Linked DNA regions of Ovis aries. The protein of the gene in region 4 interacts with the protein of the main gene of each other region in a biochemical or structural test. Links are inferred from orthologs where the notes say so. Each region holds a gene or a part of one and is shown on either strand. Other genes may lie near its edges.

Region 1 (3,500 bases), on a different chromosome or scaffold from region 4:
CCCTAACTGAAAATGTACAGAATTATTCACAGCACTGCAGGCTATGAACAGAACCCTTGAATTCATGTGATGTACACGTTTAATCTAAGTAAGTTGTTCCTAAAGTGAATTTCTTAGGATTGCTAGTTAAATTGTGCTCTGTCTAATAATTAATAGAACTGGCATTTTTTTCATCCTTAAGTATTGTTAAAATCTATGTCTCGACAAAAAAGTCTGTTTGCTCCCTATCTAATCTCAACTGGGAACAGCCCGTGTCTGCCTTCTAGTTTTTAACACAGTGTTTCCCCAAAAGAGTTAGAAAAACCCTAAGATTCTAGGAGTTATTATGAGGTGTTCTGTGAATTAAAAGAAAAAAAAATTAGTTGGGACTTCCCTGGTGATCCAGTGGCTAAGACTTTGCACTTCCACCGCAGGGAGCAAGCGTTTGGTTCCTTAGTCAGGGAACTAAGATCCCGCATGCCATGTGTCACGGCCAAAAAAAGAGAAAAAATAGTAGTGCTTTGTTTTTCTAAAATTCTTGAAAAAAATACATACAAGTATTAAACATATTTTTGTTATTGTTACAAACAATATATGTCATTAGTAATGATGTACCATAACTTGAATTTCAGGTGCTTAATTAAGTGAATTTCGTAACTTAATTTTCAACCCTTAAGGAACATGAAGGGTTCATTTCATGAATGCTTGATTTTAGATCTTTGTGTAAATGAATACACAAAGCATCCTGAGCACCCTGATTTGAATCTGGAGAAATGCATTATAAAATGCTTCCAGTATAACGCATTTTCTTGAATGGTTTCAAACATCAAGTACATATGAAAAGAAATATAACTGGAAAATTTTTTATCATCTTTATCTAACTTATATCTACTTTACAGATATAGTATTACCCTCTGACCCGATATTGGTTTTAGACTTTATGATCTGCTTTTCAAAAGCATTTTAAAAACTCTCCTTAACTTCTTATTCAAACTCCTCACTCTCCAGTATGGAATTAATTAAAATACATACAGAGCAAAAGAAAAAAAAAAAGTCCTTTTTCCTGGAGTAAACAAAGAAAGGTGGATGGGTAACGTGTATGAACTGGAAGAAAGGTTGAGCGCGAACGACTCAGAAGGGCTGCTGAGGAAGAGAGATGTTAAGAGAAGACGCTACTCACGGAGTCTTCACTGGATAGGTTGGGGTTCATCGGAACGTAATTCTCTTCACTGTCGTGCGAGTCGCTGCTTGAAGTTGTGCTGTGCACAGAATCCGGCCGGGGAGACAGGGGGAACCTGGAGGAGCTGAGGGCAGAGAGGGTCGTCACAAACACACAGCCTGACCCAGGTTTCTCAGCTCGCTTCCACAGCAAGAATAAGAGAGAGGGCATATTCTTCCCAGAAGAACTGAAGCTTGTAATCATTTACTATACATATTTACTATAGTCCACTTTATTGCAGACATTCAAACACATATCTAGTGTTTATAGCTATTTGTAAACAGATATTTAAAGAGAAACTTATACAGATATTAAAAAAAAAAACTTTGAAAGGTTACTTTCCATTTATAGTTATTACAAAATGTTGGCTCTATTCTCCATGTTGTACAACACATTCTTGAGCCTATGTTACACCCAGTAGTCTGAACCTCCTACTTGCCCTTCCTTACTGCGATCCCCCACCCTGTGAGGGGATGCTGTGCTGTGCTAGGTCGGCTCAGCCATGTCCCACTCTTTGCGACTCTCTGGACTGTGGCCCACCAGGCTCCTCTGTCCATGGGATTCTCTAGGGCAAGAATACTGGAGTGGGTTGCCATGCCCTCCTTCAAGGGATCTTCCCAACTCAGGGACTGAACTCACATCTCCCCATAAAGGGATGTTTCTGGGCATTTAATAGCCTTGTGCAGAGCAAAAAAAAAAGAAAGAAAAAAAGTATCGCTAGTGATATGGGGGATAAATAGAAAGTCACAGCTTTAAAAAGGAAGATTTAAGCATTCTTATTTTTAAAAAAACTTGTTTATACATATAAAATATGAACACATCAACACAGGTTTGTAACTGTGTACATTCTTTTTATTTCCACGTATATATTTAAATGAATCTTTATTAAATAATCCTCACAAGAAACTACCATAGTTTCCAGATCAGTAGTTCTCAGAAATTTCTAGCCTCATGAACCTTTCACATTCTTAAAAAATTATTGAGAACCCCAAGGAACTTTCGTTTATAGGGTGATATCTATTGACATTCACCATATTACAAATAATAGAAAAAAAATTAAGCACAGGCATACACAAAGGCACACTCTCTTAGCTGCCACAATGGTTATCGCCCAGTATTAGCCACCTCTGGAAAACTCCAGTGTACACTCATGAGAGAAGGAGAGTGGAGAAGCAAATGACATCTTAGTATATTAATGAAATAGTTTTGACTTCACAGAAACCCAAAAGGGGAGGGGTTCCCCAGACCATCCTCTGGGAACCACTGTTTTAGGTACTTTCCATTACAAAGAACAATTGAGCTATGTATTTTATATAAAGACTTACTCTCGAGCAAAACTCCTAGTGATGGGAGATCTAACTGGGGCTTGTAATTCTTCCCATTCTGGCAAAGGTTTTATTTCTAAAGGTGCTGGCTTGACTGAAACAAGAGAGAGAAAATGAGATTTTAGTACATAGAAATTTGGAAAACATGACCTTCTTTCTACACCTCTACTATAGCCAGAGTACACCTAGGACTGGCTAGTTTTCACATGAAAAGAAGTTCACAGATGTTATGTGATTTCTCCAAGGTTACACAGCTAAAAAAATTAGCGACAAAGGCTAAATTAGATAATTTCCTGACTGTTTACTGAAAGTCTAAATAAAGCTCTATTATTACATGTTGCTTCTTAATTGAAGTACATATTTTATGACTATAAACTTAATGAGAAGAAGAGTAATGTGGCACAATTCCTTCAGAGTTATTTGATTTATAATTTTCATTATTTCCTTATTTTATTTTTTCTACTAATGTTATATCGTCAAACACAGAGGTTTAATTTTCTATGTAAAAATGTTCCTCATTATCCACACTGAAGCATGAGCTGTGCAACTTTACATACAAAATGATGTTTCGAAAGCAATAAACATAACACTTTGCTAAAATCAAAAACTTAAAAAGGAATCAATGATTAAAGTTTTGAAATTAATTCGGGTCCAGTCTGGAACCAAATAGAACAAAGCAATAATTACGTCTTTATACTCAAACTCAGATCTGAGAAAGGCCATAAAATTAACTACCTCAAATGTTTAGCTTCTTTTAACCAACAATGTCCTCTATTAAATTAAGTAAAAATAAATGCTAATATTCTTATTAGCTTTATTTGTAAGAGGTCTTCACTAACTTACCCCATTATTGCAATCAATTACTGCAAGAATTAACTACTCTGCTAGTATATACCACAGAGCTCTTTGCCCTCAAAGTAAGACTCAGATTCCAGGAATACAGAAAATGTGCAAAAAGAAGTACAACACTATTAGCT
Region 2 (3,500 bases), on a different chromosome or scaffold from region 4:
GGTTTCTATCTAAACTTCTATAAATGATGATGTGAGGACTGCTTTTCCTGGAGATTCCTCTGACTGGGTGGAAGAACTCTGAGCTTTTAGGCTGTGGCCCTGAATCATTCTGTCTTCACCCTTGGGAAACTCATGCTTGAACTTCACTGTAAGGGCTCTCATAAAACCCCTCCTTACTCGACCTCATTCTTTTAGCTTCCCTCACTTTTCACAACTTCAGAAGAAAACAATTCCAATGTCTCCAATGTTCTTGGGCAAAAACCAACATCTACTGCTGATTTAATGGCTAAGTTAGAATCCGGAAGTGACACTTAGCCAGTGATACAATACCCTTCTAGACCAGTTTGCGTTTGGATGATAACACTGAAACTCTCCTATGCGTTACTTTCAGTAACTTGTAGGACGTTTCACTCATGTCCCAGATGAGTTCACAGAAGATCTTTTAACAAATAGCTGATTTTATACAATTGTTCAAAAAAGAGTCCATGCAACTGTATTCTTTGAATTATAAAAAAAAAATTAAATGTCATTCCAAATACATTTTAATTGTAAAATTTTAAAGTTAGGGATAGTATTGCATTTATCTGGGTGTTCCCCACATAACACAGTGCTTTTAGTAGACTATAAATAAATATGAATTGAAAAAAAAGGGAGATGAATGGGTGGAGAGACTTACTTTTTCAAAATAGGCAGAAACCTAGATTTCTTGTCATTTTTTTCCTACTATTTCCCATGGAGATTTTCAGTCTGTTTTCAATTAGGTGATTCATTCTGGAGAAGGAAATGGCAACCCACTCCAGTATTCTTGCTTGGAGAATCCCATGGATGGGGGAGCCTGGCAGGATACAGTCCATGGGGTCTCAAGAGTCGGACATGACTTAGCGACTAAACCACCACCACCAGGTGATACATTCAAATTCCCAATATTTTATCACTGGAAAGAAATATATTTTACAAAATTCCAAATAAATTGGGGCAGATTTTCCTAGAAGGGGCAGATTTATATCCAATTTTTCTAATTGCTGACCTGAGGCCTCCATTTTTCTGAAAACTCAACCCTATCCTTTGTTTCTATTGCTCATCTTAACTTAATAGGTATTCTTCAAAATGATACATAATAAAGATGGCTCTAGAACTAGGATGCTGTTTGAAGAAAAAGAGTTATCATATAAGGTATCAAAAGGGTAGTATGTTGTATATTAAAATAATTACATGAGAAACTTTTTTCACATTTATTTACAACTCTTAACCCAAGGATCTATCTAAAGCAATGAATGTTTATTTATTTCTTTTTGTTATACCAATTTAGGTGCAAAGTTACCTTCCACTTAATATGAATGAGTCTTATACTAAAAATTCCATGGAATTTAAGCCAATCCTTACTTGCATTCCTTCAAATGGAGTGTACAAACTGGACAACTTTCCTCATGTAGAAAATGTGATATTACATGTGGAGCATGTACTGACTCTTTCACCATAATCCCCTGATACTGTTCCAAAATCCTAACTTGCTTGGTTTGGCATTTCCACAGTCTTTCTTTATCTTAGCTCTTTAAAAAAAATGTACTCAAATGTGTTATTGTGCTGGTTGCTTCCATATTGCTTCATTCAAAATCCAAAATGAAGTTCAGAAAGAGAACAAATAAAACTACAGCTCAAGTGCAAACTACATTTCTGAGTATCTATCAGGTAGACATACTCAATCCAGTGTGTTTCTTCCAGTTCAAAGGATTCCCCATTGGACCACCCCTGAAAGTGCCAGTAGTTTTTATAAATCACGCAGAACGGTCTCTTAGTTTCCCTTCTATTCTTAACATTATTACTACCTATCAAGTACTGTCTTTCATAGAGGGGAAGAAAATGAAGAATATAAAGGAAGGGAGGGAGGAGAATCCATATTCAATACTGTAAAACACAAAAGTTAGATTTAATGCTATGTTTGACCAATACCTTGGCCTCCCCTTCTAATTTTAAAGACTGTATATTTAAAATAGTGGCCATTTCACCATATTAAAATATCTTTTTACAATTCTTTCAATTTATAGCAACACCTAAGAAGGTTTGATGTAAAAAGCTTTGCAATTACAAACTAAAGCTGAAGATACAGGAGAAAGTAATATGAAGAGAAAGATCAAAGCAAAACAAAATGGTAAAACAAAAAAGCTCCCCAAACATAATTACTGGTTATAACTTGGATGAAGATTCAAAAATTATGAAGGCTGAGTTGGCCATTCTTGCTTGTCAAGACAGACCCTGGTGGAGAAAGAGTTTGGATTTTCAATCTTAAGTTACTATCATACATTATAGAAAAGGTTATCCTTTTGTTCTACTGAAAACGTCCTTAGGATTACCAGGGATGCTGAAAATATACGGATCAGTTCCTGCAGATAGGAATAGATAGCTTGGATCTTCCAAGCATCTGCTTTGAAAGAAAGGAAGGAAGGAATAAAAAGAAAACAATGGTGGGGTGGGGGACGCTGAGAACTAGTTTGACGGCAGGCAGTCTTGCCTCCTATTTGCGTGTCCTTTTCTAGCTGTTCCAGTCTCCTGGCCAACCCATGCAGAGAAATGAAGAAACAGTGTGGTTCCTCCTCTCTTTCTCTTTCATCCTTCCTTCTAATGTTCAAGTTAGATAAGCACAAAATTAGCATTGCATCTCTATAGCTTCCACTGGGAAGTGTCAAAACTACTGGCCTTAGGAGTAGAAGGAAGAAAACAAGAGAAAGAGAGGCGGCGGGAAATTAGAGTGGGTGTGTCTCTCCGCCTGAAAACCACTGCGGAGCTCACACCACAGTATTCCGGTGTCTGTAGGGCGGCGGAGGCAGCACAGTGCCTGGCTTCAGCGAGAACTCAGAGAGGTATTCGGGATTCTCTGCCACAATAGGCCGGATCCGTCCATTTTGTTTATAAAAATATTTTGTGCTGTACTCCTGCAGGTAGTCTGGGTGCTGGAGGGTGCTCCGAGGTGGCAGGCTGTGGTTCCAGTAGTCGGGGTTGTCGAATGCTTTCTTGGCCTTCTCTGGCACAGACAGTACGCTGTTCTTCAGGTACTCGGCGTTCCCCAAGGCGTTGGCAAAGGTGTTGAGGTACAGCGGCTCGTTTACATACTCATCCTCTGCCTTGGGTGCACCACTGGAAGCGCTGTGATATTCGGGATTATCCAAAGCCTGAAGGTCTCCATTTTTCCTCCGAGAAACGAAAGGGTTCTCCTCCACAGGGTTCAGGTATTCTGATGGAATACAAAAGTATCAGTTAACATCTACTTTCTGGAAAATGTAATTCTGGCCATGGTGCCTTTTCCAGAACAATAAAGCCACGGGCTTCATGAATTTTCCCCAAAACTATTTTGTTGATTACAGCTGTCATAGGAAAGAGGAGTAAGTGGGCAAAAAAATGCTAGTGGCAAAACGAGGCACCAACAGGGCCAACGTCAGAGTTCCTGACCCCTAGACTGTTCTTCTTCTCTTCTAATTATATTTGTCTCTCCTACATATTGGAGA
Region 3 (4,149 bases), on a different chromosome or scaffold from region 4:
AGTCCATGGGGTCACAAAGAGTCAGACAAGATGACTAACACTCACTTTTTCATAGGTCTTCATAGAAATACACATGAATCTCACAAAAGATGCTGAGCAAAAGATTATGCAATGAACAAGCAAAATATGTCTGGGAAATAAAATGATAAAGAAAAGCAGGGAAATGATAAGGCCAGGTTAAAAACAAGCAAAATATATCTGGGAAATAAAATGATAAAGAAAAGCAGCGAAATGATAAAGCCAGGATTTGGGGGTTAAGGAGGAGAAAGGGCAAGCTTCTGGAAAGCTTGTGCCATTTTATATTCTTTAATCTGTGGGACTGAAACAGAAGTGTTTGCTTTAAAATTCTCATTTATAGTACCTTGATTATATATCAACGTATTTAAACTAAATACAATATATTAAAACCAAATTTCAATATGTTAAAACTAACAACAAAAGTTGAAAGAAAAGCAACATGTGGTTGAGGAAAAGGATCTAACTTCGTTTATTTGGTTGCCTACCTTTCACATTATTTATTAAATATTCCATATATGATTACAACTTAAGTTCCATTCTTTCTTGCATTAGAGATTTAGTAACAATTGTTTCCAACAAGGGTTTTTGACAAGGATGAATGGACTTTTGCAGGTGGTAGGGGGAGGGATAGTAAAAGTGTGATTATGAAAGCAGAAGAGGGAGACAGTCATGCTCATGGGATTTGTTTTTAAATAGGAAAAATCTAGAGACAGACCTGAAAAGAGAAAGGAAGTCTATGAAAGGGTTGCCAAGTCGGAGAGCAAACTGTCACCTGATGAAAGGACTTCTGAATGAGCTCAGAGCAAAACTATTTGGAGGAAATCTAAAGAGGACATGCCTGCAGGATGGAGGTTAGTTATACTGGGTGCCTGGCCCAAGGGTCCAGTCTCCATCTACACCACGTAGGCGGTAAGATAAAGTTTACTGAACGGTCTCAAAGATTTGATATATTGCTATTTTAAATTATATTGCTTTCTTCTTTTTCCTACTTTAAACATAGTATTTATTAACTGAAGGAAATTACAGAAAAATACGTGCTGCCACGTTTTGTCCAATCTTGGCGGCTGGGTTCGTGCCCTTTTTAACTCACAATGGCCAACCTGAAGGGTTGCGGTTGACTCGGCAGTGGGGCGCGGACCAGCCCTCCCTCGCGCCAGCACCCTCACGTCGCTGCGGCAGTCTCCTGCGAGAGGGCGGTCCTAAGAGGTGCGAGGGCCGCTCTCCGAGGCCAAGGCCGCCGCGGGAGCCCCGCCCCGGCCGCAGCCCCGCCCCGGCCCCGCCTGCGCGGTGCCTCGCGCCCACACTCAAGCGCGAGCCGCGGTCGCACGTTTGATCCGCGCCACCGCGGCCGGAGATGCAGCGGGGTGCCGCGTTGTGCCTGCGCCTGTGGCTCTGCCTCGGACTGCTCGACAACGAGCGTGGTGAGCCCTCCGCCGGCCCCAGTGCGCAGCTGGCCACGAGCGGGGACGCTTTCCCTGGGCAAATGGTGGGACTGCACGGACGCGAGACCGGTCGGGGGACGGGGCCCGCGGGACCCTTGGGCACGAGGGGAGACAGGGTTGAGAGCCAGGAATTCAGATCCCGGAAGGAGCACAGAGAGTCGGGCCGGGCTTGCCGGGATGAGGAAAGGGAGAGGACGGGCCGCGGGGCAGCCCAGCAGCGTGGAGATGGGTTCTCGACTTCACTCCACGGTCTATGGTTCAGCTCCCTTGGACCCGGGCCCCTTCGCGCTGCATCCTCAGCCTGGATCCTTCGCTTGCTTACACGCTTTTCTGCGGAGTCGGGGCACCGCACTACTCTATCCTGCGATCCGCGCGCGCTGAGGTTGTCCCCCAGCGCAGAGGTTGCAGTCCCCGCCAGGTCGTAGTCTCGGAGGCGCACTTCCCCGCGACTCTAGTCTGCGCTCGAGATCAGCATTCCTGAGGGAACTCTGGTTGCTGTTCACTTTCCCCAGGCCAAGGACTGCTGGGATGGAGCAGTCCCAAGGGATGCAGGGAATCAGGCGTAGTCCGGGAAAACTGGGCGCAGTTGTTGGATTTTGAGGCTGATCTTGAGTCAGCAGCTCGTAAGTGATCAGCATGGCAGGAGAGGCAGAAGGCCGGCCCTCGCCATATTTGGGGGGTAGCACCCTGGATGGCCAAGCTAAGGATCATAAGGCAGGGGCTGCAAAGAAGGGTCTTCAACACAGGAGAGGCAGTGTGGAAACAGGTGATGGGAACATGACTAAAGGTTGCCTCTGAGCGATCGGAGGGAAGAGAGTTTGGGGATTGAGGGAGGGGTGGCTGTTTGCAGATGTCAGGGGGAAAGCATCAGGAATGAGAGGCAGATGAGCTGGAAGCCCATGAGAGATCCAGTGACCCTGGGGGTCAGAGGGCGGAGGACCGATCATGGGTCCCCAGTGTCTGAGGGAGTAGTTCTGAAAGATCTGAAGGGAGAAATGGATACCTCTATTTTTAAACACTGTTGGCTTTGAATACTGGCTTTACATGTTTCATTTCTTTTAATCCTCACAAGGAAATGTTAGACCCTTTTTACAAACGGGAACACTTGAACCAAGGACAGGGGTAACTTCCCCCAAAGTCCTCAGGAAGCCAGTAGTAAAGGACATGTTCAACCCAGGTCTTTGGGATACAAGAACCCCATTCTCTGTGTCTATATGGGCTGAAGGGCTGGGGAGAGTGGAGTGAAGGGAAGTGTGGGTGAACCTAGGGGGAGGAGGATGGAAGAAGACAACTTCCGGCCTCCAAGTCAGGGCAGGTCTGAGCAGAGGGGCTGCCTCTTGGCCCTTCTTTGCTCCCCTGCACCCTTCCCAGGCCCAGGCTTTCACAGGTGCCGTGGTTGGACTTCAGGGCTGAGTGGGATATCCCACCTTGAGAAGACATCCAGCAGGCAGTGGGTACAGTGTCCAAGGCTCAGGAGAGAGGCTGAAGAGGAAGCTGTCCCAGGATGGGACCATCTTCCCCAAAGAGGGGACCAGAGAGCGAGAGGCTTCCAGGGAGATAGAAAACATCCAATGTGCAGAGTGTAAGGAAAACCAGGAGAGACTCACGTCCTGGTGCTCCTGAGTAGAGCGAGTGCAAGGTAGCAGACAGAGGGGGGATAAGTCAGTCTCGCAGTGAGTACAGGTGATTCTTACCAAAGCTGGGCAGTGAGGGAGAAGAGAAAGAATGAAGCCAAGGGGCCCGTGGAGGGGGACAGCCTTGGCTGGACCAGGGCACGGCTGGTAGGGAGATAACCCGTTGAGAGCAGACCATTGCCACAGTCCCTGAGCCTTATACTTGTGCCACCCACTTTGGGGCTGAAGAGGACCTGAGAAGCCCCTAGACTGATGGGAGTGCTGGAGCAGAAGCTCAGACATTCCAGTGCAGCCCCAGTGTGAGGCCACGTGCTGGCAGGTGAGCAGCCTGGCCCGAAGGCGACCCTCAGAGATGTGGTGCTTGTCCCAGAGCTGGCTCCTTCCTGGCTCTACCCCTAAATTACTTGCTGTGTTGCCTGGACCCCTCCCTTCCTCTCCTTATGCCTCAGTTTGCCCACACATAGCACTGCAACAAGCTGGCACGCTCTGAGGGGCTGTGCTTGGGGCTGGACTCCTTACCCCAATCGTGTCCCTCTAGAGAAGGCAGATGGCAGAGGCCACCTCCTACAGGCTTTATCTCTTGGGGCTTAGACTCTATAGAGGCTGTCTGTGCCTCTGAACGGTGGGCAGTCAGCTCAGGGACATGTGGGGAAGGAGGCAATTGCCAGGAAGCTTGGTTGGCCAGCCATGAGGCTACTGGTTCCTACCACGGCTGAGACACTCATGACCATCCCAGCTCTTTCCCGTCCCTGCTCCTCAGCCCTGAGCCAGGGCCAGGTGTGGACAGAGGTGTGGGAGAGGGGCAGGCATGTGAGTCAGTGCAGGTACAGCACTGGCCTTAGCTCAGTGCTCTGAGGACTCACATACAGGCGTGCTCACAGACCCAGCATGCTGGAGGCACTGGGTCAGTGTGGCCGAAGGACTCTTTGCCTCCCCACAGCACAGTGTCCACATGACCAGGCACCAGGCTGGGCATGAGGTGTGACAAGGGGACTGTCTGGCCATCTCCTTGCTGTGCCACCCCCACCCTGACCCCCAGGCAGTGGCAGGCAGCC
Region 4 (3,500 bases):
CAGTTCCAAACCTACCAATGGTATCTGGGGATTGTCTACTGCTTTAAAGTCTCAATGCCCCTGTTCCCACCTCGACCAAATCCAGCTGGGATGGCAGCTCCGTCACCCCCCTCACCACCCCTGCAGGGGGAGGCAGGGCAGAGGCCAGGAAGAAGGGCTGTACTTTGGCTGTAGAGTATAACATGCATGCAACATGGTGGGGGGGGGGGGTGGCTTACGAAATGTATATACAGAGCCCTGGGTGAGGGGCCCCAGCCAGGAGGCACTGAGCAAGGGAGGGGTCCATCTCCCCACTGGCTGAGAGCAGGGTGCCGCGGCAGTCTCTAAGGGCTGCACATCCCAGGGAGAGGGGACAGCTGCTACTCCTGCCTCTGCTGGCCCAACCTAAACTGGAGGAGGTGCTGAGCGAGGAGAGGACGGGGTCCCAGAAGCCAAGAAGCTGTCAGCACCCCCATCCTTGACTTCAGGGGCCCAAGAACTCTTTGCATAAAATATCTTCAGACCTAGGAGATGGTCAAAGGCACAAAATTTGAATGCTGGGAGGGAGGGTTGTTGAGGAGTCTGGGGTACCCTGAGCCCAGGGGTAGACTAAAGGTATGATTCAGTTCCCCTTCCCTGAAAGGGTGATTACTCCACTGGGCCTATCACCACAGAACATCTTCCATTACCAGGAAGCATCCTGCCCAGGCCTCCAGCACCCACCTTGGGGAAAAGGGTATCAAGTTGGCACAGGAAAGGCCCAGGGAAGGGGGCCACTCTGTACATTAATACTTTGGTGAGGTTTGGGGAGAAGCAGGACTCTACCCCTGGTTCCTGACTCAAACCCTCTCACTCAGCTGCATGCTGAACCCAGTGTCCACAGTATCCCCAGTCCTACACAAGGCCAAGCCCACGAACACTCCCAAGTGAGGTCCAAAGAGTCAGGGAATAGGGTGGAAGGGACCGCAGGCCGTCTTCTGAGAGAGAGCACTGGAACAGGTCACAGTTTCCGCTCCACAGGCTGCTGGAGACACAGTTCGCTGCCCGCAGAGATGATGGGCAAGTGATTGTCCATGTGGTAGCTGATGAGGTGACTGACACTCTCAAAGCGGTGATCCTTTGTCCGAACCTGGGGAGTGGGAACAGAGAAAGGAGATTCAGGTGAAGAGTCAGATAAAATCTCAGTCTCCAAGGCCGAGGAAGCTGGGATAGTCAAGAGGGTTGAGGCAGGAGAAAAAGATGGCAGGAGAGGGAGGGCTCTCAGTTCTGATCACTGAGGCTTCTCTGGGAAGAGAAGCTGGAGACAGATGTGGGAATGGGCAAGTCAGTGAACTGGGAAAAGGCAGAACAGACATGAGCCCAGAAGTCGTGAAACTGAAGGCTAGCTACTCCTTCCCTGACCTGGAGGAGGGCGGTATGTCCAAGAAGAGGATACACAGGACACAAAAAGACATGCAAAGGAGGCTGAGACTGCTGCAGAAACAAGAGTGAAGTCATGAGGGGCAGCGGGCGGCGCAGACAGGAGACAGGGCTCTGGTCTGACTCCTGAGTCTGCAGGAGCTGGGGAGGCCCCTGGCTCCTCTTGTGAAAAGTTTCAGGATATTTCGCCTCTAGACATCTGACATAGAGCACTACAATTCTGGCGGATGGTTTCCTTATTTGTCAAAAGAGGGACTAGTGAGATGACCACTTTCTAGCTCTCAAGGGCACAACGTTTGGGGACTGGCAAGGACTGAAGGGAATACAGCTCAGGTGAGGGATGTGAGAAGGGAAGGAACTCTAAACCACTAGACGAAGGAGATGCCAGACACCTGGGAACAGGGGAGGCCCAGACAGAGGTGCCCAGCAGACAAAGTCTAGGAAGCAGTGAGGCAGGAGCAGAGCCACAGGTAGGGGACTGCACCTTCCTTTCTGCCATGCCCACCTACACCCCTGCCACACTCACCACTCCCTCAGGGTCCACCAGGAGCAGGTGCTTGGGCTGCCCACTCTGCAGGCCGGTGAGCACGTACTGGCCCGGCGTGGTCGTGCTTTCCCGCACCAGGAAGTCCCCGTTGACTTGTAGCAGTGCCTCAGCCTCGCGCCGGCTCAGCTTCCCGTGGAACCAGGGCTCCCCTCGGAGCTGCTCAGCCATGGCTGTTGACTGGGGAGGTGGAGGCATTCGCAAGGCATCTTCAAAGGGCTCTGGGGATACAGAGAGAGGGCTAGGAGAGGCAGCTGACACAACCCTATGCTCAGGACCTAGACCTTTAGGGAGGGGAGGCCAGGAAGCAAAAAGCAGAGAGGCAGGAAAAGAGGAGGAATCAAGTGAGAAGATGGAGACACAGAAAGGCGAGAGGCACACTTACTCATATCAAAGAGGTCTCGGGGTGCACTACCATTGATGGCAGGATTGGGGGGCCCGGCCCCGGCCCCTGCTTGCCGGGCCTTGTCTAGGTTCTGGACATTGACGTACGAGGGGTCATCAAAGAGCTCTCTGCCTGCTGAGAAAACGGAGGCTTTAGAGGGGCCCCGCCCTGCTTCTCACTCCCCTCTGCCCCTCAGTCCCCTTCATACCTGAGCAGGGTGGCGGGGGCGGTATCTGTCTGCGGGCTTCTGGGTCTCCCCCAGCAGGCTGCCCCACAGGCTGCAGGGACCAAGACAGAGTGAAACCAGAGGCCCTAACCAGCTGCTCCCATCCAAGCCCCACCCGCCTCCATCCAAGCAACATACCAGCGTGGCTCCCAGGTGGCTGGGGGTCTGGGCACTGGGTGGAGTGGGTCGAGCAGCCCCTGGGAGGGCTCCTTCCCGAAGCCTCATGTCCACCACACCCCCGAGAGGTGGTTCCTTCCCCGGGAAGTCATTATAGTACTGATGGTCAGGGGGCTCTTCCTCCTCCTCATCCCAAGCTGAGCCATCAAAGCCAGCCATCCTGAGAGAGACAGGAGGGAGAAAGGAGTGTGGATGGGAGGACGGAGGGAGAACGGAACAGTGGTCACGTATGGGGCATTCCCTGAGGGGTAGGCCTGAGGATGGGTGTTTCACGTATAATCATTTCACTCTCTGGGCAACCGATAAAGCACATACTGTTTCCTTCTCCAGTTTTTTAGTTGAGGAAAATGATGATCAGGGATAAAAAGATTTTGGTCACACAACTAAGAAATGGTCAGACGGCATCACCGACTCAATGGATACGAGTTTGAGCAAACCTTGGGAGATAGTGGAGGACAGGGAGGCCTGGCGTGTTGCAGTCCATGGGGTCGCAAAGAGCTGGACATGACTTAGCGACTGAACCACCACCGCTACTGGTGGAGCCGAGTGTCAATTCAGAGTTTGCCTTAACGTCATGCCCTTGATCGTCACGCGGTCTCCCAAGAGGGAGGGGAGACACCAAGTAACCAGGGAGGGGGTGCCCTAGAATATCCCAACCCCTCCTCTAAATACTCGATCCTACTGGTCTGAGGTGGGAAACGTGACCATCTCAGGAAAGAGCCATCCTCCCTTGCCCAAATTCTTGATGGCTTCTAGAGGCAAGAACGTGA
Region 5 (3,500 bases), about 94 Mb from region 4:
TCTTAGCCACTGGACTGCCAGGGAAGCCCTAGGGACTATGTTTTAGCTGGAAAACTTTAGAACTTTCCCTCCCATTTCCTTGGCAGAATAGAGTGTGTGTGTAGGCACTGCCACCAGCTTAACTTGGTTCTGGTTAATGATAATAATAGTCGCTAACACATATGGAACAGTTACTTTGTGTAGGCACATGTCTAAACTCATGTAATCTTCACAGCAATGCTTTGAGTTAGACACTGTACCATTCCCATTTGCTAGATGAGTAAACTGAGGCCAGGGAGGGTAAGCAACTTGCCCAGATCTCATTGCTAACAAGTAACAGGATTAGATTTGAACCCAGGCAGTCTAGCCTCTGAATTTACCTACTTAACCACCATACTCTACTAGCTGTGGGCCCTTTCTACCTCTGCTTTCCAAGAAGACCACGCGGGTGGGATGCGAGGTCCCAGCTGTGTTATAGGCCTTAAGGATCACCTCCCGGGCTTCTGAAGGCAGTTGGAAGGTACAGTTCAGCTCCGTGGTGTCACAGAGGATTGGCTCTGCCCCAGCCTGGTCTGAGGGTCTCCAGGAAACCAGGTAACCTTGGATCTGCCTGCTGTCTTCTTCCAGGGCTATTGGCTGTTAGTGGGCATAGGAGGAAAAAGACGAGGGGATGCGCAGCTCATCTTGAGTGGGGGAGAGCTTCTAGATGGAGCGTCCGTGTCCCCGGAACTAAGCCACCCAGACTGGGAGTCAGTCCTCCTCCCTCCCTCCCTTCTCCCCCTGTGCCAGGTCCTAGAAGGGAGGAAAGGATAAAGTAACTCAGTGTGAGCAGCAGGCGCCTAACAAGGTGAGTCCTGCATTGTAGTCTCTGCAGAAGGGCACTGCCCAGCAAAGTGTGTGCAGATCACGTACAGATGCATCCAAGCCTGCCAGGCCTGCTGGAGTCCCAAGCCCCAGCTTGCAGGGGTCTGTTTGAATCTGAAGAGGTGGAGGGATGGCCTTCAGAGGGGGTTACCTTCCAGAACAGCTGCACGGCCACCGTCTGGGGGTCCAGCTGCCTCTGCCGCCACCACGTGTCCAGTCTGACGATGGGGGCTGTGGAGGGAGTGGGAGGGGAGGGTCAGGGAGGGCCCCGGAGGCCAGCCTGGGTCCTGATGGCTGCTCCTAGCCCCTCACCACCTGCTCACCCCGTTGTGCAGTGGTCAGCTCCAGGCTGGGGCTCCATTCGCTCCAGTGGCCGGGCAGGCGCCAGCGGGTACAGCGCATTTGCAGGGTGTAGGCTGTGGATGGGAGGAGCCCGCAGAGTTCATACTGGGGGGTCCTGGCAGGCAGGCCGCTCACCTGGTGGAAGACAGGCATGACTGTTGGCCTGGACCTCTGTGCCCTTCAGGGCCAGCTCAGCTTACCCTCCCCTCAGCCACCCCCATCCCAGGCCCCTCAGGTTGCCCTCTGCCTCACCAGGTCCCAGCCGGCTTCTCCAAGCCGAGGCTGGTGGCGCAGCTCACACTTCTGTTCTATGTACAGGCTTGGCTTCCAGGTCTCCCAGCGCAGCCTCAGGCAGCCTGGCTGGGGTGGGGCCACCGCAGGGCTGGGCTCCAGGGCCCACAGTGTGGGGGGCTCCAGTTTCACTGCAAGGAGAGGAGTTATCGGACACTTTCTCTGCTTCATCCTCCAGGGCTCTGTCCTGGCTTCCCCTTGTCTCCCTGTCTGTGGTTCCATTTCTTCTCTGGGTCTCCAATCGTGGTATCTCTATATCTTTCCATCTCTCTCTGTGTCCCTTCATCTCTGCGTCATCCTGTTTCTGCAGGTTTGTCTCTGTCCATGAGCCTGCTTCTCTCTCCCTTTCCTACTCTTGCCCCATGGGCCTTTGCACTGGTTGTTCCCTCGGTCTGGAGCACTTACTTTCCGAATATACAGTGTCTTGCTCCCTCATTTCCTGCAAGGATCTTCTCAAATGTTGTCTTCTCAGTGAGGCCTTCCCTGACTGCCTTCTCCCCAGCTGTCCCTACCCCATCCCCGGCTTAATTTCCTCATCACACATACCATTACCTGACATTTTATTATTCTTTGCCCACCAGAATGTAAGTGGGCAAAATTTCGGGGGCACGATTTTTGCTGTGTTATTTACTGCTGTATTCCCAGCCCCTAGAATGGTGCCTAGCGCAGAGTGGGCGCTTCAGGAAATTTGCTGGAAGAATGAATGAGTGTGTCTCCTTGCTTGTGTTTCTCCCACATCCCTGTCTGTGTCTCCATAGCTCCGTCTTCAATTGAATCCCACTTTGTTTTTCTCCCTTCTCTTCCTCCAGGTCTTTCAGCATCTTATTGTCTGTTGCTGGGTCTGTGTTTCCCTCCCTGTGCGTCTCTGAGTCTGCTCATGGTGGGGACCTCTTTCCTCCCCCACACCCAGCGTCACCCACCAACGTCCATGGGAGCAAGGCAGAGCTTCGGGGAAACGCTGGTCCCCAGCGCGTTCCTGGCCTGCACCCAGATGCTCATGTTCTGGTACAGCTGCAGGTGTTTGCGGGGGATGGCGCAGTGGCTCTGCCCGTCCTCCGGCACGCAGTCAGGGATGGAATCCTTCTGCGTCTGGCATTTGTCCTGGCTCCTGCCAATGGGCCAGGCTTGGATGTAAAGCGGGGGCAGAAAGCCAAGCTCCCTTCTCCTCCCCATCTCTGCCTTGGCTCTCCACCCCACAGTCCTACCTGTGGTCTGTCCCAGAACCCAAAGTAATGGGGCTGGCATAAGGACCCTTACTCACTTGAAGCTCTTCAGGGTGAAGCTTGTGGACAGGTGGGTGTCGGGGCCTGGCTCCCACTGGCAGATGAGGCTGCTGGTTGTGAGGTTCATGAGGCAGGATAGGTTGTGGGGTGCAGTGGGAGGGTCTGTGGGTAGGGTGGAGAGAATGAGGGCTTCAGGTAAGACCATTCAGAAAGCTCCCACTGGGATCAGTTGGGCATTTCCTTGCCCTGGGTCTCCATGGCAAGTGGGTTGCCAACCCATCTGCCATGCCTTTGTCTCTATGCAGGGTGACCCCAGAAGGGCAGCCCTGGGGTAAGCTAAGTTATCCACACGTACACGGACAAGTAAACAGAGCCTCCAACCCTCTCAACTCCGCCCTTTTTGACAGTAACAGTGTAGTGTCTGGGTTTTCATCCTGGTTCTGCCACTCATCAGTGGTGTGATCTTGAAGTCACCTAATGGCTCTGTGCCTCAGTTTCCTCATCTGTAAAATGGGGGTAATGGTAATATACCTACCACTTAGGGTTATTGTGAGGGCTGAGTGGCTTACTAGGCATACAGTGCTCAGAGCAGTGCCTGGCATATATGCTGCTGCTGCTAAGTCGCTTCAGTCGTGTCTGACTCTGTGCAACCCCATAGATGGCAGCCCAACAGGCTGCCCCATCCCTGGGATTCTCCAGGCAAGAACACTGGAGTGGGATGCCATTTCCTTCTCCAACTGGCATATGTGAGTGCTCTGTAAATCTTAATTTTCACTATTATTGATTCTTAAACAAGAACCT
Region 6 (3,500 bases), on a different chromosome or scaffold from region 4:
GCAAGATGTTTGCCTGCTTGTATTCATCCAAGTGCTTCCCATCCTGATTTTAATCCCTGATTTTTATGTTAAAATGTGTTATAAAGCCACTTAAATTTTGTTCATTTCATGAGTATCAGGAAATGATTAGAATGGGGGAATACCAAAATAAAATTAAACAGCAGGCTTTTTGAAAAACAATTGAAAATTTAAATATTCCTCATGCAAAAGTACAAAATGGAAAGGCAGAGAAAAAAAAGTTAAATGAATAAAAGGAAGAATGAAAAGAAAATAAATATTTTATCATTCATATTTTATATGACAGATTGACATATTCATAGAAATTATAAAGCTATGAAGAATAAAACTTCTTCCTAATTCATAGAAAATGAATGTACTATAGAACCAGCAAATAAACCAAATCTACATATAAGGAGACTTATGCTTTTTAAATCTGTAATGAAGGCTATTTCTTTATATCCTCCATGGTATCAAAACCAATTTCTTGGAAACAGAAGTAGTAGCAACAATAATAACAAGGATTATAATAAAAACTAACAGTAAGTGGAACACTTGCTATCTGCCACATACAGTAGTGATGAACTTTACAAGTTTCTGAAGAACTTACTTAATTCTTCAATTATTAACGGTATGATTCCCACTTTGAAATAAAGAGATTATGGCACAATGAAATAAAGTAATTCGACCAAGATCCCACAACTAGTAAATGACAGAGCCAAGAATTTTAACCTGGGAGGTCTAGCTCCAGTCAGCATTCTTAACCACTAAACTATATAATGTTTCCAGTTAGACATAAATATTCACTGACTTGACTATATTTATACATAGATAAATATAAAAGGCACCAGGGATGCAGTATTTGGAAAAGTCAACGCAGAGCATACATATCTAATGTAGGTATAAATTCATCCAAAACAAATGAGTGACAATATGTTCATTTTGCTGCCCAGTGTATTACCTCATGCTAATACGCATCATTTATACCTTTCACTGCCTTTATCTCTTACATAGCAAAGCTACTTCTAAAAAAGTAGTAACATGTATAACAAAACGTATGGCATAATTTACTGCAATTAGTCATAAGTTTAAAAATCGTAACAGATGAATTAGATATAATGCTATATAAAAATTATTCTTACCCCAGCTTTCAGTAAATTCCACGTATAATCTATGGCACAAATGGCACCTGTTCTTCCACAGCCTGCACTATGGATATAAAATTTGAAAAAACAATTGATTTTTGTAATAAAAGAACTATAAGATAAACGTGGATGGATATGTTAATACTCAGAAGCGAAAATCGTTTAAGAAAGCTGATAAAATTCTACTTATTTAGTAAGTAAACTACAACTTAAGATGTGTGCAGGGCAAACATCCTTAAAATTATGATTTACATATTGTTTTCCTTTAAGGAACCTGCAAGAGTAATACCTCGAAACCTCCACTTTGAAAGTCTGTCTACCTCGTGAAACCTTGTCTAGCTAACAAAACACCTTGCAGAGATAAATTTATACTATGTTCTAGATAGCTCTGGTAGAGGGAGAAATCTACATCATTTCAACCTGCAAAAGGTACAGGAAAGATGAAGATTAATAAGCCCTAGAAACTGGTTTGAACATAAGCAGTGATTACACTAAAGAAAGAAAGGCCTCTAATGCTTTCTAATCTCCTGAAGAACAGAACCTAAAGAATGTAAAGTAAAATATCAAAGTTAGTTATTTTAAAACACGACAAAAATAAAGTAAATGGTTTTCAGCTAGAGGGAGGCAAATGCACCCAACGACTGGAAATCACTATGAGTAAATAAAGATGCTACTGACATCTTTAATAATTTTAGGCAGAAAAAAATTGGGGTAGCACTTTAATATGTATTTTGAAACTTTTAGAAATATCATGTAATCTAAGAATTCATGATACAATACATTTTAAGCAATTTAGTATGGTTTTCTAAAAAGCTCTTAACAATAGACATCAAAATATTAATTTTAAACCACTGATTTATTTGTCAATTCCACACATCAAAACGTTTCTAAAATTTTAGTGTTAAGAGTTACTAGAGCTAAATGATATATATGTAAAACTTGGTGGTTAAAAGTGTGATATTACAAAGACAGAGACAACTATATCAATGAAACACTACATAATATTTCGGTTGTTTGAAAATATTAAATGATCAACTTTATTTTATTAAAAGAAAATCTTCACATCAAATTGGGTTTATGACCTATACATTGGCTGGACAATATGAATACAACAGGAAATAATTTCAGTTAACTTGTAAAGAAGTCAAGCCAAAGCAATTTATCTTTTAATTCTACAATTAAACAGACCCTTCTCTTTTTAACCAGTTAACTACTTAGACTCAACTAATCACAGACAAACTAAAGAAAAATCATTTTAATTAAGCAGGTTGCTAACTGATTCCTACGTCTACATCAGCAGGTCACCTTTCTGGTTCATAAGAAAAAGCAGCCCTTTCACTTCACTAATACAGGCATCACAATCCAACCAAATGGCTAAGAAAACTCTCTTTGGTGCTCCATCACCACTAATGTCTTTTTCTAACTTTTTATTTTTTATATTCGAGTCAATTAACAATGAGGTGACAGTTTCAGGTGGAAAGCAAAGAGACTCAACCATCCATTCTTCCCCAAACTCGCTGCCACATAACATTGAGCAGAGTTCCCTGTGCTACAGAATAGGCCCCTGTTGGCTATCCAATTTAAATATAACTCCACTAATACCTTTTAACTATTGAATTAGCCTGAGTTAATTAACCTCTGAGTCTGAAAATTTTCATTTACTTTTCATAACAACTGTGAATACAGGTTTAAGTCACTTAAAAAATAAATTGCTATTTTATGAAATAAGTACTATGATTTTAAGTCTTTTGGAAAAATCTAATATAAAATAAAAAATTAAGAGAAGGAAAACTGCCTCAGGAATTAAATGACCAATCTAACTCCGGGAGCTGGTGATGGACAGGGAGGCCTGGCGTGCTGTGATCCATAGGGTCGCAAAGAGTCGGACACAACTGAGTGACTGAACTGAACTGAACTGAATGAAATTCGAAACTTATGTTTCAAAATGCTATACATTACCCACATTATAATGCCATCTATACTGAAAAATATTTAATTAAATATTTAGAAAAATTTTTTGTACCTGCAATGAATACAAATAGGCACATCTTCATGTTCCTGGTATTTCCTCATTAAGCTTATCATGTCCAGAATAGAATCAAATGATGAAGGAACATCATGGTCTGGCCAGTTCACATAATGAAACTGATATAGCCTACGAGATTCCTTCAAGAATAACAGAAATTCAACCATATAAAAATACAGTTACAAATTTTAAACCATAAAGAAAAGCTGCACATCTCACTTTGCTGTCATTTCTAAGATAGGTATGTCATATTCAGCACTTTGTTAAAAAAAAATGATAGCCTACATTTATCACATACCTTTTCTTAATCCCCCATGTAATACAATGGGGAA
Region 7 (3,500 bases), on a different chromosome or scaffold from region 4:
ATTTTGTATCTGCTAATTTCTTGATTTAAACAAATGTACTGTGGTTAAGTAAGAAAACGTTCTTGTTTTCAAGGAATACACCCTGAAATGTCACTGGGGTGAGAGGACACCATGTCTGGAAATTTACCTTCAAGTGGTTCAGAAAAACAAGAGCATATATAATGAGTGTGTGTGTGTGCGTGTGTGTGTTGTGTAGAGAGAGAAATGATAAAGCATATGGTACACTGGAGAAGGCGATGGCACCCCACTCCAGTACCCTTGCCTGGAAAATCCCAAGGATGGAGAAGCCTGGTATGCTACAGTCCATGGGGTCACAAAAAGTCAGACAGGACTGAGTGACTTCACTTTCCTTTCCTTTTTTTATGGTACACTGTTAACACTTGCTGCTGCTAAGTCGCTTCAGTCATGTCCGACTCTGTGCGACCCCATAGATGGCAGCCCACCAGGCTCCCCCGTCCCTGGGATTCTCCAGGCAAGAACACTGGAGTGGGTTGCCATTTCCTTCTCCAATGCATGAAAGTGAAAAGTGAAAGTGAAGTCGCTCAGTCATGTCCGTGCAACCCCATGGACTGCAGCCTATCAGGCTCCTCCGCCCATGGGATTTTCTAGGCAAGGGTACTGGAGTGGGGTGCCGTTGGGGGATCTGAATAAAGAGCATATGGAAAATCTTTGTACCATTTTTTGCAACTTTAGATACAATATTGTCCAAAGACAAGTGGTCCTAACGTTTTGTCTCTCTCTCTCTCTCTCTCTCACACACACACACACTCACTCACTGTAAACGCTGTCCTGTGGACTGGAATGTCCCTTGCTCTTTGTGGCTCCATACCAAGGAGCAGAACTAGGTGAAACAGCTGGAAGTCATGGGGAGAAAGATTTGTATCCAACTTAAGAACATTTAGAAACCTTTAAGAAGGAGGATACTCTGTCCCTGTCCCTTGCCATTCAGGTGGCTGGGTTGTTCAGGGGTGTCTGAGGGGATTCAAGCCCTGGGGGATTAAGCACTGCCAGGTCCTTTGTGATCTCTTTAAGATTTTATGATCTAACTTCCTGATCAGCTCCCCGTATGAAGGCTTGAACCAGTGCAATGAACTGTGAGGGGGTTGATGGGGTTGGGGATCAGAGGATGAAAACAGAATCTCTAACCCATTGAGGCCAGTGATAAGAAAGTCCAGGTTGCCCAGGATCTTGGTGCAGTTCACGAATCCATCAATGTTGCTCGAGTCCACAGTCTGGAAGCGGCTCCCAGAGCCTGTCCCCTCACAGGCTGCAAACAGAAGAGGCTCAGTGTGGGGATGAGGGGTCGGGGCTGAGTAGTCTCAGGGGAAAGGGTGTCTCTTCACCAACTCCTTTCAATCTCTTACTCACCTTTCGGGCACAGACCCCCACAAGGTTCACATATCTTGAGTCCATTTTTATCTACTTCCATCTTGTCAGCAGGACAGGCCCTGACACAAGACGTTTGATCCACCACAAAGTTATCTAGGAAAGAGGAAAGAGATGAGGGACGAACACTGCCAACTACCAGCTGAACCGCCTCCCTCCTTATCTGCATGGATTTGCTCCAATTGACCACCGGAGGTTCCTTAAGTGCTGGATTCTAAGCATGGATTAGAAAGGCCCTTTGCTCTCTGGATCCCAAAAGCAGAACTAGAAGCAATTGGTGGAAGTCATGGGGAAACAGATACGGGGAACAGGACATAGGGGCCATTTGTTAAGGGTGATGATGATCACAACCCATTGCCCTTTACACTCTCAATTAAACTCCCAACTTGATCCATTTCACCTCCTAAAATTGCATCTAGGGAATTTCCTGGCAGTACAGTGATTAGGACTCCGTGCTTTCACTGCTGAAGGCTTGAGTCCGATCCCTAGTCAGGACATGGCCAAAAAAAGGAAAAAATTTCATCTAAAACCCTGGTTAATATTGTGGGAGGAAGCACAACTTAAGGAGTAGAATGTGCTTACCCCTGGGGTAAGATATATAGCAGGAACCAGCCTGGCAACATGGCCAGGACTGCCACTCAAAATAATCACCACTGATTTAAAGTTTTATTTAGACTTCATTCATACCCTTGAAGTCGATAAAAGTCTTGCCACATTTTATTAGTGAAGTTGGAAGATGTATCATTTGTTTGTTGTTCTGTCCCCTCCCCCAATACTAAACTGTGAAATTTGATTTGTTTAAACTCTGGATGAATCATAGCTTAGTTTGCATGTCCAGCTAATTTGTTTCTATACATTTTCTTTGATTCTCTTTCTCCTTCTCTCAGGGTTTTTACCCAATATATATATGTGTATGTATATAGGTATAGATACATAAATAGATCTTCCTAAAAGTTTTTTGAGGTGCAAGTTTCTCTGTTTTGTTTTTCTCTGTGATTTATGGACATGATGCTGAGATTCAATCACTACATAAAACATCCGGCTATGAAAACAAAACAGAAAACCCAAAGGACTGTTTTTTCCACCAGCTCCGGGGAAGCTATGTGTCAGTCGGATGCTGATTTCAGAAAGATTCACTGTTCCTTCCATTCTGTTTCTCTCTTTCCTCTAGAAAGAAGTTGATCCTAATGATTTCAGCCCATGAATTAAACAGGACAAAATAACAAATGTGTGGAATTCATATTTTTCTAAAGGGAACTTAAAAACTGCTGCTACATGTTACATACAAAATTGGTTTATACCACATGAACAGAAAATCCCAAGTTCAGTTTTGGTATTTTTCCTTCCTCTTTGTTTTCAGTCATATAGTACTTCCAAATTCAAAATGAGAAGAAAAGCTCTTTTGTATCAAACCATCTATGCAATAAATGTTATATTTTAAAAACAGCAGGTCGCTGGTCACACACACAAACACACACAGAATAAGATTAAATAAAATCCTGTCAGGGACTTCCTTGGTGGTCCAATGGTTAAGACTCCGTGCTTCCAGTGTAAAGGGCATGGGTTCAATCACTGTTCAGGGAATTAAGATTCCACATGCTGTGCAGTGTGGCAAAAACAATATTAAAAAAATAAAATGGATAGGACTTCCCTGGTGGCACAGTGGACGGGAACCTGCCTGCCAATCTAGGAGACACAGATTCAATCCCTTGTCTGGGAAGATCCCACATGCAGTGAAGCAACTAAGTCTATGTGCCACGACTACTGAGCCTGAGCTCTAGAGCCCACGAGCCACAGCTACTGAAGCCTTTATGCCTAGAGCCCATGCTGCTCAACAAGAGAAGCCTCCACTATGAGAAGCCCACACATTGAAATTAAGAGAAGAACCCGGTTCACCGCAATAGAGAAAGCGGCGCAAAGCAACAAAGATCCAGCGCTACTATTCATAAATACATAAATTTTTGTAAAAAAAAGGCTAAAAGAATAAAATCCTGGTTCCACTCCCATTGTTCCTTCCCTTCAGACACTTACGGGGACAGCTGGCTACACACACTCCTCCATACTGATACTTGGTATAGGGATTGGGTTCCAACTGGAAAGTTAGCTTGTTGTAG

The links.
Region 1: the proteins of SHC1 (region 4) and GAB1 form a complex in vitro, tested with the Homo sapiens proteins (2 studies listed by BioGRID and IntAct, with this or other methods). The link is inferred for Ovis aries from reciprocal best matches to the Homo sapiens genes SHC1 and GAB1.
Region 2: the proteins of SHC1 (region 4) and ERBB4 form a complex in vitro, tested with the Homo sapiens proteins (2 studies listed by BioGRID and IntAct, with this or other methods). The link is inferred for Ovis aries from reciprocal best matches to the Homo sapiens genes SHC1 and ERBB4.
Region 3: the proteins of SHC1 (region 4) and FLT4 form a complex in vitro, tested with the Homo sapiens proteins (2 studies listed by BioGRID). The link is inferred for Ovis aries from reciprocal best matches to the Homo sapiens genes SHC1 and FLT4.
Region 5: the proteins of SHC1 (region 4) and CSF3R form a complex in vitro, tested with the Homo sapiens proteins (2 studies listed by BioGRID, with this or other methods). The link is inferred for Ovis aries from reciprocal best matches to the Homo sapiens genes SHC1 and CSF3R.
Region 6: the proteins of SHC1 (region 4) and PTPN12 form a complex in vitro, tested with the Homo sapiens proteins (2 studies listed by BioGRID). The link is inferred for Ovis aries from reciprocal best matches to the Homo sapiens genes SHC1 and PTPN12.
Region 7: the proteins of SHC1 (region 4) and ERBB3 form a complex in vitro, tested with the Homo sapiens proteins (2 studies listed by BioGRID and IntAct, with this or other methods). The link is inferred for Ovis aries from reciprocal best matches to the Homo sapiens genes SHC1 and ERBB3.

Annotation. Positions count from the first base shown.
Region 1 is NC_056070.1:14,499,040-14,502,539, forward strand, and holds part of GAB1 (GRB2-associated-binding protein 1), read right to left. Parts: intron 2,618-3,500; coding exon 2,524-2,617; intron 1,284-2,523; coding exon 1,160-1,283; intron 1-1,159. UniProt on the Homo sapiens protein: Adapter protein that plays a role in intracellular signaling cascades triggered by activated receptor-type kinases. Plays a role in FGFR1 signaling. Probably involved in signaling by the epidermal growth factor receptor (EGFR) and the insulin receptor (INSR).
Region 2 is NC_056055.1:213,136,239-213,139,738, forward strand, and holds part of ERBB4 (receptor tyrosine-protein kinase erbB-4), read right to left. Parts: intron 3,230-3,500; coding exon 2,784-3,229; 3' UTR 1-2,783. UniProt on the Homo sapiens protein: Tyrosine-protein kinase that plays an essential role as cell surface receptor for neuregulins and EGF family members and regulates development of the heart, the central nervous system and the mammary gland, gene transcription, cell proliferation, differentiation, migration and apoptosis.
Region 3 is NC_056058.1:345,175-349,323, forward strand, and holds the start of FLT4 (vascular endothelial growth factor receptor 3), read left to right. Parts: upstream 1-1,349; 5' UTR 1,350-1,372; coding exon 1,373-1,439; intron 1,440-4,149. UniProt on the Homo sapiens protein: Tyrosine-protein kinase that acts as a cell-surface receptor for VEGFC and VEGFD, and plays an essential role in adult lymphangiogenesis and in the development of the vascular network and the cardiovascular system during embryonic development.
Region 4 is NC_056054.1:105,187,764-105,191,263, forward strand, and holds part of SHC1 (SHC-transforming protein 1), read right to left. Parts: intron 2,891-3,500; coding exon 2,692-2,890; intron 2,606-2,691; coding exon 2,536-2,605; intron 2,463-2,535; coding exon 2,328-2,462; intron 2,164-2,327; coding exon 1,925-2,163; intron 1,109-1,924; coding exon 980-1,108; 3' UTR 1-979. UniProt on the Homo sapiens protein: Signaling adapter that couples activated growth factor receptors to signaling pathways. Participates in a signaling cascade initiated by activated KIT and KITLG/SCF.
Region 5 is NC_056054.1:11,303,789-11,307,288, forward strand, and holds part of CSF3R (granulocyte colony-stimulating factor receptor), read right to left. Parts: intron 2,862-3,500; coding exon 2,738-2,861; intron 2,585-2,737; coding exon 2,397-2,584; intron 1,608-2,396; coding exon 1,438-1,607; intron 1,321-1,437; coding exon 1,167-1,320; intron 1,075-1,166; coding exon 995-1,074; intron 616-994; coding exon 402-615; intron 1-401. UniProt on the Homo sapiens protein: Receptor for granulocyte colony-stimulating factor (CSF3), essential for granulocytic maturation. Plays a crucial role in the proliferation, differentiation and survival of cells along the neutrophilic lineage.
Region 6 is NC_056057.1:45,131,365-45,134,864, forward strand, and holds part of PTPN12 (tyrosine-protein phosphatase non-receptor type 12), read right to left. Parts: intron 3,309-3,500; coding exon 3,166-3,308; intron 1,207-3,165; coding exon 1,140-1,206; intron 1-1,139. UniProt on the Homo sapiens protein: Dephosphorylates a range of proteins, and thereby regulates cellular signaling cascades. Dephosphorylates cellular tyrosine kinases, such as ERBB2 and PTK2B/PYK2, and thereby regulates signaling via ERBB2 and PTK2B/PYK2.
Region 7 is NC_056056.1:163,445,690-163,449,189, forward strand, and holds part of ERBB3 (receptor tyrosine-protein kinase erbB-3), read right to left. Parts: coding exon 3,418-3,500; intron 1,483-3,417; coding exon 1,369-1,482; intron 1,268-1,368; coding exon 1,147-1,267; intron 1-1,146. UniProt on the Homo sapiens protein: Tyrosine-protein kinase that plays an essential role as cell surface receptor for neuregulins.